Linked DNA regions of Arabidopsis thaliana. The main gene of each other region encodes a partner of the protein of the gene in region 2 in a complex. Each region holds a gene or a part of one and is shown on either strand. Other genes may lie near its edges. A codon is read from its position in the direction of its gene.

Evidence for each region.
Region 1: the proteins of CLE41 (region 2) and PXY are in contact, whole or in part, in a crystal structure (PDB 5GIJ), measured with the Arabidopsis thaliana proteins. Residues at the interface, in NP_566754.1 of Arabidopsis thaliana: His88 (codon at 2,309), Val90 (codon at 2,315), Pro91 (codon at 2,318), Ser92 (codon at 2,321), Gly93 (codon at 2,324), Pro94 (codon at 2,327), Asn95 (codon at 2,330), Ile97 (codon at 2,336), Ser98 (codon at 2,339), Asn99 (codon at 2,342); in NP_200956.1 of Arabidopsis thaliana: Phe161 (codon at 2,625), Ser162 (codon at 2,628), Asn163 (codon at 2,631), Gly186 (codon at 2,700), Ser187 (codon at 2,703), Tyr188 (codon at 2,706), His207 (codon at 2,763), Ala209 (codon at 2,769), Gly210 (codon at 2,772), Glu231 (codon at 2,835), Tyr234 (codon at 2,844), Tyr253 (codon at 2,901), Asp255 (codon at 2,907), Phe279 (codon at 2,979), Phe281 (codon at 2,985), Gln282 (codon at 2,988), Leu301 (codon at 3,045), Asp303 (codon at 3,051), Ser305 (codon at 3,057), Trp325 (codon at 3,117), Trp353 (codon at 3,201), Asp375 (codon at 3,267), Ser377 (codon at 3,273), Lys397 (codon at 3,333), Ile399 (codon at 3,339), Phe401 (codon at 3,345), Arg421 (codon at 3,405), Arg423 (codon at 3,411).

Annotation. Positions count from the first base shown.
Region 1 is NC_003076.8:24,723,675-24,729,986, reverse strand, and holds PXY (Leucine-rich repeat protein kinase family protein), read left to right. Parts: upstream 1-1,742; 5' UTR 1,743-2,144; coding exon 2,145-4,830; intron 4,831-5,006; coding exon 5,007-5,446; 3' UTR 5,447-5,650; downstream 5,651-6,312. Other genes in the region: AT5G61470 (C2H2-like zinc finger protein), read right to left, coding at 6,203-6,312. UniProt on the Arabidopsis thaliana protein: Acts with CLE41p and CLE44p peptides as a ligand-receptor pair in a signal transduction pathway involved in the regulation of procambium maintenance and polarity during vascular-tissue development.
Region 2 is NC_003074.8:9,044,732-9,048,157, forward strand, and holds CLE41 (CLAVATA3/ESR-RELATED 41), read left to right. Parts: upstream 1-1,801; 5' UTR 1,802-2,047; coding exon 2,048-2,347; 3' UTR 2,348-2,732; downstream 2,733-3,426.

The DNA.
Region 1 (6,312 bases), on a different chromosome or scaffold from region 2:
TTGATCGTTTATAGGACGAGTTTGTAAAACGTATAATCGTTCTAATTGAGATATTATCGGTTCTTCCACTACATCACGTAGAAAAAGAAGTTGATTTTGGACTTCTAATTAACCACACTTACAAAGTGATTATATTCGAACCAATGCAGTTGCAAACTATGATGCAACGGGTAAAGAATTAACGATATATAATAGAAATGAATGTGTGTGATTTCAAAATATAGTATAGCATTAAGCTCACTCACGTACGTACGGAGTCTTTAAGATATGTATGCATAAGCGATAATTTAGGTGATTAGTTGGGAAATAATGAATTCCTTTTTGGAACTTTATGGATCATCGAATAAATGTGAGATATTTAATTCACCCAACCTTAATGATGAAAAGTGAATCTATAATGGCAAGCAACCATCATGATACAAACCTTATATGCCCTTAAGTCAATTTCTACAGCTATAACTTTATATATATAGCATTGACAAAAGATAATTTATTTTTTTCATTGTGTTACTGTGTTTTTAGTAAAGAAAAGAAAAAATATCATAAGAAATAGACATCGTGACCCCAAAAAAAATACGTATAAGCAAAAGGCATAGCTTGGATTTCCTAGTAGTATCAAATAAATAAATGAGACAAAATATTTCTAGTAGAACGGGATTACGGGACCATGTGTTTGAGATATTTTATGAAAATCAATAGAAATAGTAAATAGAAAAATATGAGAATATAACTTGTGTTCATAATATGATGATGTATATACAAGATTAACATGTAAATTAAAGAATGAAGAGACCTAGCTCGACACATTATTTTTAGTAGAGCAGAACCAGGTGATTGAGATAATTCATGTTCATAATTATGAATTCACGAGTAAATAAACTCGTAAATATCAAGAATGTAAGAAAAACGATTTTTTTTTTCTTCTTCTTATAGTAGTCTAATAGTTGAAAGATTTATCATGTAAGCGTAGAATTTAATGTTGAAATTATCTCACTACGATTTGAATCATGCTGAGAATTAAGCTAATGCTTAGGATGGAATGTTGTAGTCTATCGTATAAAATAACTTTATTTTAGACTACGATAAAATTAAAATCATAAAACTCTCAACTCCAATCCTAATCTAATCAAGTTTTTCTAAGGTTGGTAGACAATAGTAGATTTTCAGTGATCGTAAGTATTACTTGGCATATATATAAACGAACTGAAAAATAAGTCCCAATGTAATATCATTTCACTAAAAGTAATAAAGAGATGCACGCGTATATATCTATACGTATGAATGGTCTGATGAAAGGATAAAAAAAGAATGGTGTAATAAATTTGTTATAAAATCTTGAATCTTTTAGGCGCGAGATTGTTGTTCGAAAAAAAAAAACCGTAATTCATATATATGTAAAAACTTATATACGCACACATATATGTAGTGGGCATGAGAGTTAGTGGAGAGACAGAGGATTTTAGCTTTATTGGATCCTGTGAGTGACTGGGATAAATACAGTCCACTTTCGCTTATTGTGTATCTATGTACTTGTACATCTGCATGCGTATACATTCCATTGAACATTCAATTTGTATGCAAAAGGTTTTTTAAAAAGAATACCATAGTGGAAAAAAAAGAATTTTAATGAGGAGAAGAAATTAAAGGACAAAGAAAAGATACTAGCAAATCTAATTAATCGGTTTTTAATATGAGTGGCATTGTGTGATTTGGTTTCTGATTTTACCCAATACTTGTATGATGGCAAAACAAAAACAAAATCTACAATTATAGTATATACGTTTTATTTTGGTTCATACTTAATAAAGGTAACAAACAGAAAAAAGTACTAGTATACGAAGTACAGTAATTTGAAAAAAGTAAGAAAAGTAAAAGAAGAGTGGAAAATGGATTGAGTTTTTTTTTTCTCTTTGCTTTTGTTTTCTTCCCCACACAAAAACCATAATGCCTTAACCAACAAAAGCCAGACCATTAGACGCACTCCACAATCATCACCTTCATCATGACTTCTTCTTCTCTTCTCTTCTTCCATCTTCTTCTTCTTCAAACCCTTAAATCCACCATTGTCAACACTAACACCTTTCTCAACAATATCACCACACTTCCTCAAACAACTTCACTTTAATTTCTTTCTAAAAGCTACGATGAAAAAGAAGAACATTTCTCCTTCTCTTGTTCTTCATCCCCTTCTCCTTCTTCTACTTCCTTTCTTTGCTTTCAATTCCTTAGCTCTCAAGTTTTCACCTCAACTCTTGTCTCTCCTTTCCCTTAAAACATCTCTCTCTGGCCCTCCCTCTGCCTTTCAAGACTGGAAAGTCCCCGTTAACGGTCAAAACGACGCCGTTTGGTGTTCTTGGTCCGGTGTAGTCTGTGATAATGTAACGGCTCAAGTCATTTCCCTCGACCTCTCTCACCGGAACCTCTCTGGTCGTATTCCTATACAGATTCGTTACTTGTCGAGCTTACTCTACTTAAATCTCAGTGGGAATTCTTTGGAAGGTTCGTTTCCAACTTCTATCTTTGATCTCACCAAGCTCACTACCCTCGACATCAGCCGTAACTCGTTCGACTCGAGTTTTCCTCCCGGAATCTCCAAGCTTAAGTTCTTAAAAGTCTTCAATGCGTTCAGCAACAACTTCGAAGGTCTATTACCTAGTGACGTGTCTCGTCTTCGTTTCTTGGAAGAGCTTAACTTTGGTGGAAGTTACTTTGAAGGAGAGATTCCAGCAGCTTACGGTGGTTTACAGAGATTGAAGTTTATTCATTTAGCTGGAAATGTCCTCGGAGGTAAACTACCTCCTAGATTAGGACTCTTAACAGAGCTCCAACACATGGAAATCGGTTATAATCACTTCAACGGAAACATACCTTCGGAGTTTGCCTTACTCTCAAATCTCAAGTACTTTGACGTTTCCAATTGCAGCCTCTCTGGTTCTCTGCCTCAAGAACTCGGGAATCTCTCAAACCTAGAGACTTTATTTCTATTCCAAAACGGTTTCACCGGTGAAATCCCAGAGAGTTATAGCAACTTGAAATCCCTCAAGCTTCTCGATTTTTCGAGTAATCAGCTTTCTGGTAGTATCCCATCAGGCTTCTCGACCTTGAAGAACCTCACATGGCTAAGCTTAATCAGCAATAACCTCTCAGGTGAAGTACCTGAAGGAATCGGTGAACTCCCTGAGCTTACTACATTGTTTCTATGGAACAATAACTTCACCGGAGTTTTGCCACACAAGCTTGGATCAAACGGTAAACTTGAGACAATGGACGTCTCTAACAATTCATTCACCGGAACAATCCCTTCTTCTCTCTGCCATGGAAACAAGCTATACAAACTCATCCTCTTCTCCAACATGTTTGAAGGTGAGCTACCAAAGAGCTTGACTCGTTGCGAATCTCTATGGCGGTTTCGGAGTCAAAACAATCGATTAAACGGCACAATTCCGATCGGATTCGGCTCTCTACGTAACCTCACTTTCGTTGATTTAAGCAACAACAGATTCACCGATCAAATTCCGGCGGATTTCGCCACCGCTCCTGTTCTTCAGTACTTGAATCTCTCAACCAATTTCTTCCACAGGAAACTACCGGAAAACATATGGAAAGCTCCGAATCTACAGATCTTCTCAGCGAGTTTCAGCAATTTGATCGGTGAAATCCCAAATTACGTTGGATGCAAAAGCTTCTACAGGATTGAACTACAAGGAAACTCACTCAACGGAACGATTCCATGGGACATCGGACATTGCGAGAAGCTTCTCTGTTTGAATCTCAGCCAAAATCATCTCAACGGAATCATTCCATGGGAGATTTCAACTCTTCCGTCAATCGCCGACGTAGATCTTTCTCATAATCTCTTAACCGGAACAATCCCTTCCGATTTCGGAAGCTCTAAGACGATCACAACCTTCAACGTTTCGTATAATCAGCTAATCGGTCCGATTCCAAGTGGTTCTTTCGCTCATCTGAATCCGTCGTTCTTCTCCTCAAACGAAGGACTCTGTGGAGATCTCGTCGGAAAACCTTGCAATTCTGATAGGTTTAACGCCGGAAATGCAGATATAGACGGTCATCATAAAGAGGAACGACCTAAGAAAACAGCCGGAGCTATTGTTTGGATATTGGCGGCGGCGATTGGGGTTGGATTCTTCGTCCTTGTAGCCGCCACTAGATGCTTCCAGAAAAGCTACGGAAACAGAGTCGACGGTGGTGGAAGAAACGGCGGAGATATAGGACCGTGGAAGCTAACGGCTTTTCAGAGACTAAACTTCACGGCGGATGATGTGGTTGAGTGTCTCTCAAAGACTGATAACATCCTCGGAATGGGATCAACAGGAACAGTGTACAAAGCAGAGATGCCTAATGGAGAAATAATCGCCGTGAAAAAACTTTGGGGAAAAAACAAAGAGAACGGCAAAATCCGGCGGCGGAAGAGCGGCGTATTGGCGGAGGTTGATGTTCTAGGGAACGTACGTCACCGGAACATCGTTCGTCTCCTTGGATGTTGCACGAATCGAGATTGCACGATGCTTTTATACGAATACATGCCTAATGGAAGCTTAGACGATCTTCTTCACGGTGGGGATAAGACGATGACCGCGGCGGCGGAATGGACGGCTTTGTATCAGATCGCGATTGGAGTGGCTCAAGGGATCTGTTATCTCCACCATGATTGTGATCCGGTGATTGTACACCGTGACCTGAAACCTAGCAATATCCTCCTCGACGCCGATTTCGAGGCGCGTGTGGCGGACTTCGGCGTCGCGAAGCTTATTCAAACCGACGAATCCATGTCCGTCGTCGCCGGTTCGTACGGTTACATTGCACCAGGTACCCTTAACTTTTTTTGATTATTCTTTACTTTCCCCAAATTTTAAATTTTGTACTTTTTTGTCCCTTTGTTTTTATTATTCGAATTTTGTCCGTTTGTTAAACATTCTTTTTGTTGGGATGACAACATCTGACAAATATGACTAAAATTTTAATTTTGTTTGTTTTGGTTACAGAATATGCTTACACTTTACAAGTGGATAAAAAGAGTGATATCTATAGCTATGGAGTGATTTTATTAGAGATAATCACCGGAAAAAGATCGGTGGAACCGGAATTTGGAGAAGGTAACAGTATCGTGGATTGGGTTAGATCAAAGTTGAAGACGAAAGAAGATGTAGAAGAAGTTCTAGACAAAAGCATGGGTAGGTCGTGTAGTCTTATAAGAGAAGAGATGAAACAAATGTTGAGAATTGCGTTGTTGTGTACAAGCCGGAGTCCGACAGACAGACCGCCGATGAGAGATGTGTTGTTGATTCTTCAAGAGGCAAAGCCAAAGAGGAAGACAGTAGGGGATAATGTGATCGTCGTTGGTGATGTTAATGATGTCAATTTCGAAGATGTTTGTAGTGTTGATGTTGGTCATGATGTTAAATGTCAAAGGATTGGGGTGTGATTGTTTATATATATATATTTTTTTTGTATTTGGAGTTTTTAATGTAATTGTAGGTTTTTTTTAAGGGTGTTACTAGTATATATGATATGAGTGTATTTTTGTTTCTTTTCGTTATATGAATATCGGAATGTTTCGAATTTTGCTTTGAGGAAGATCGATCATGCAACTACATTTTTTGGGCTTAAGAGTAAGAGATTTATATTTAAAGAGAGTTGGCGTCCATTATCTTGGCCCTATCATCAGCATGTGTATTCTTTGCATCGATTGCACCAATGTGGTATACTGTATATCATTGTCCTATTTTGGAGCAAACTAACATGCATAAAACAAAAAAAAAACTAACATGCATTGACATATAGATATTTTTCCTTGCATCTACATTAAAGTTTATATGTTAAGAATTTATGTTTCTTATTATATTGTTAATATTTAATCAGTTGACATATTTGGATTATATATCTTTGCCTATAGCTAGTCAAACAAAACTTATTTTTGATAAAAAAAAATTTAGTTTAATTTTTACGAATAAAATATTGGAGAAATATATTTCAGAGTAAAATTTAAAACAACTTTTATTGATGTAGGAAAATAAACTTAAAAAGGGTTAACAACATAAAAACATAGAACATGTTTTATTAGTCGGAAAACAGAAAGAAAAGAAAGCATGTTTCTTTTTATTATTTGTTTATCTCAACTAGTCACCCAAATCTAGGTACGCTTCATAGATTCTATGGTCACTTGGTGGAAATCGACAAGTTACTTGGCTGGAGCTAGGAACATATAGTGAATCTTTTTGTGACCACCAAGTGCTTGACCAGATGCAAACATTCTGTTACAAATTTGACACTCGTATTGTCGTCGAACTA
Region 2 (3,426 bases):
AAGCTCGAAATAATTAACTGTACTTTTTTGTATGTGGAAATAACGAAAAGATGGTATACATGAGATTAGTCTAATTGAGCGAGCCTATACAAAGATGGGGCACAACTGCACAAGACATATGGATGATCCTTGAGCAGATGAGGGGCACGAATTTGATTGTCTCTAGTACAAAAGACTTTCCCTCATCAACTGAGAAGATACCAATATACACCGTATACTCAAATGGCCGGTATATATATATATATATATATAAGGTTTTATTTTTGTTAAACAAAAAATTAACTAACGATGTTAATACTTAATAGGAGCATAGTTCAAGACCGAAGCTTTATTTGCTAAAATGGTTATATATTGGTATCTGAGTATACAGTGTATACTGGTATCTCAGTTGTCAATGTGAATGACTGAATGGCATAACAACAACAATTATCAAGTAATAAAATGTGGAAAAAAAAACAAAAACAACAAGTAAGAAAATATAATAAATAAATATATATATAACAAACAAAAGGAGGCATCAAATGACGAAAATGACCACGACGTACAATCGTTCTCGTTGATATCATTCCAAGAAAGTGAGGGACCCCATGCAATCCACGTAACGGAGACATGCACAGTCTCTTCTCTTCGGTAATCGAATATTATTGTTTTGTCTACCAAATCGAATATTATATTGTTCATTTTAGTGATAGAACGAAAGAAATCACCGGATTGCTTCTTCCATACACTAATGTGCATCACCGCTCTTTTTCAGACTCATATATACGTGAATATTATATGTTTTCATGTGATGTATGAGAATACACTTTTACCAAAATGTACAGTGTACACAATACAAATCTATGTATATATGATTCTTTACTTTTTAAAACAGCATACATGTGTATATATGTAATATGTTATGTAAGTCGTAACAGTGTAACACCATGCAAAAAAGTCATTAGACTAATTAATTAAGGATCCATTTTGTTTCTATCCATCAGAAAAACTGTGATATAGACCAAATAATATATCGGGTTTTATTACTTCAATATTACTTTTTTCTATTTTGAAAACCAAAGATTGTTTTATTCTCCTATATTACTGTCGTCATTTTTTTCTTATTGTGTCAATTCATTACATCCTAATTTCGGCGGTTTTTCCCAGACATACCCGAAGTCTATATATGTAGCACTCTCCATAATTTGATGTGGCATTCATTGAAGTAATAAATTCAGGTATATCATAGTATAATCAAACCGGCCGGTATATCATTTGACTTCCATACACAATGAGCAAATAAGCATTTTTCCTCTTTGACTAGTATTTGATACACGTTAATATGCAATTGGTGTTTGTCACCTTAGTCAAACAAATATTTTCTTGTAAAAAAGAGAATATGAAAAGAAATGGAAAATTAAAGAGAAAAGTAAGCAAGAACCCTGCTTTCTTCCACCTCCCCTCCTTTGATTTATTTTATCACCTTTGCTTTTTGTCTAAGCTTTTAAGATTCGTTGATAATCGTATAATGACCCAATTACCATTACATGCTTTGTTCTTTCCATTGAGATTGTTCGTTCCACAGTGGCATGCCTACCGACAATTCCAAGTCTTTTCAGGGGCTAAGTAGTAACTCTATTCCAAAGAAAATTAGGAAATTGTTTTGTCACGCGTTATTCAAACCCTAGTCTGAATGCACTATATATGTCCATTCTCTCCAGGCGATGCTTGCATAAAAGGGTACTTTTGGTAATTTTATAACTTGTGACTTTTTTTTGTATACACATCTTTAACATACGTTGTTTTGTTTACTTTATTAATCAAATTAACGAGTGTGAAAAATTGAAAACCTCTCTCTTTCTCATTTTCCCTTTTTTTCTCTTTATCTCAAGCTCATTCTTCTTCTTAATAACTAGATCTCTCTTTCTTTCTTCTTATTTTTCTCTTCTCTTCTTTAGTTTCGCTTATCTCGCGGCTCTGACCAGCTCTCAAGTTGTTCGTTTCTGGTTAATGGATATTGAACCCTCTTGGGATCTTGGGGGGGTGGTTATTTCCTTTTCGAAATTGCATGGCAACATCAAATGACCAAACCAATACTAAATCATCACATTCTCGTACTCTTCTCCTTCTCTTCATCTTCTTATCCCTCCTTCTCTTCAGTAGCCTTACAATCCCCATGACTCGTCATCAGTCCACATCTATGGTTGCTCCCTTCAAGAGGGTTCTCCTCGAATCTTCAGTTCCAGCTTCATCAACAATGGATCTACGTCCAAAGGCTAGCACACGACGCAGCCGCACTTCTAGAAGGAGAGAGTTTGGAAATGATGCTCATGAGGTTCCTAGTGGTCCAAACCCTATTTCCAACTAGGTGAGTTGGCACATCTGGTTTTTTACCGGTGAGTTTGAAAGATAAGTTATTATAGATCAATATTATATGTATATTTGAGAAGCTTCTGATCGATGGAGATCAGAGAGAAGCTTCATTATTATGGACTTTTTTTGGATATGAATTATCAAGAATTTGGTATATATTTCTTTGGATCGATCAATTTGGTACCATTCCATCTCCTTAAAATCTTTTGTTCGTTCTAATATTGTTTTCTCCATCTATTAAGTTTTGAAGTTAGAAGTGTAAAGAAGAGATATATACTCTTTATTTATTCACATGTGACTGTGTGTATATGTAGCCACCTCTGCATTTCCTTCACAAAGTATTTGGGATATAGAATCTTTTATAATTGTTAGATTTGTCTAATGATTGTTTAATTATTGGTATAAAATGTAGACCATTAATTAATTAACCAAAATACTCTATTTGTAACTAAGTGAATAACATTGAAGATCTCGAGGCATTTCACAAATAATTGTTCGATCTAGTTTTGTCCGGTCAAAATTGTCTCCTTTCTGAATATAATTTTGAAAAGAAAATGCAAACCAGCTATATCCGATATCAATTATCTAAAGTAGTTTTCTTTTCTACCGGAAAAAGTAGTAATTATCTTTAAATAATATAATTCATGTTACAATGTACCCTCTAATATATTCATACCCAACCATAGGTTATACGATTCGACACACATTTGAGAAGACTGCAATTTAATTTCTATCTATGAATTGTTTTTTCACTATTAATCAAACTATATCAGAAAAATATGGATAAGCTTTTTCTTTCGTTGGGTTGAACGATCGACAAGAGACTGTAGGGGAGAAGAAAGAAAATTATTAGACAAGAATCGCTTCCTCACATAGCTTTTTGTCTTATCAAAGCATAGTGTCGTAGAAAAACCCAAAAGCTAAATAAGAAAAAGTGATGATTTGATAATAATAATCGTATCATTTCCTTGTTGTTGAATTATATGCCATCAATCATTTGCTTTATGATGTTCCACTTTTCTTCTCTTTCTTTCTTTATTCGTGTATATTGTATTTTTGTTATAACGGCCTTGG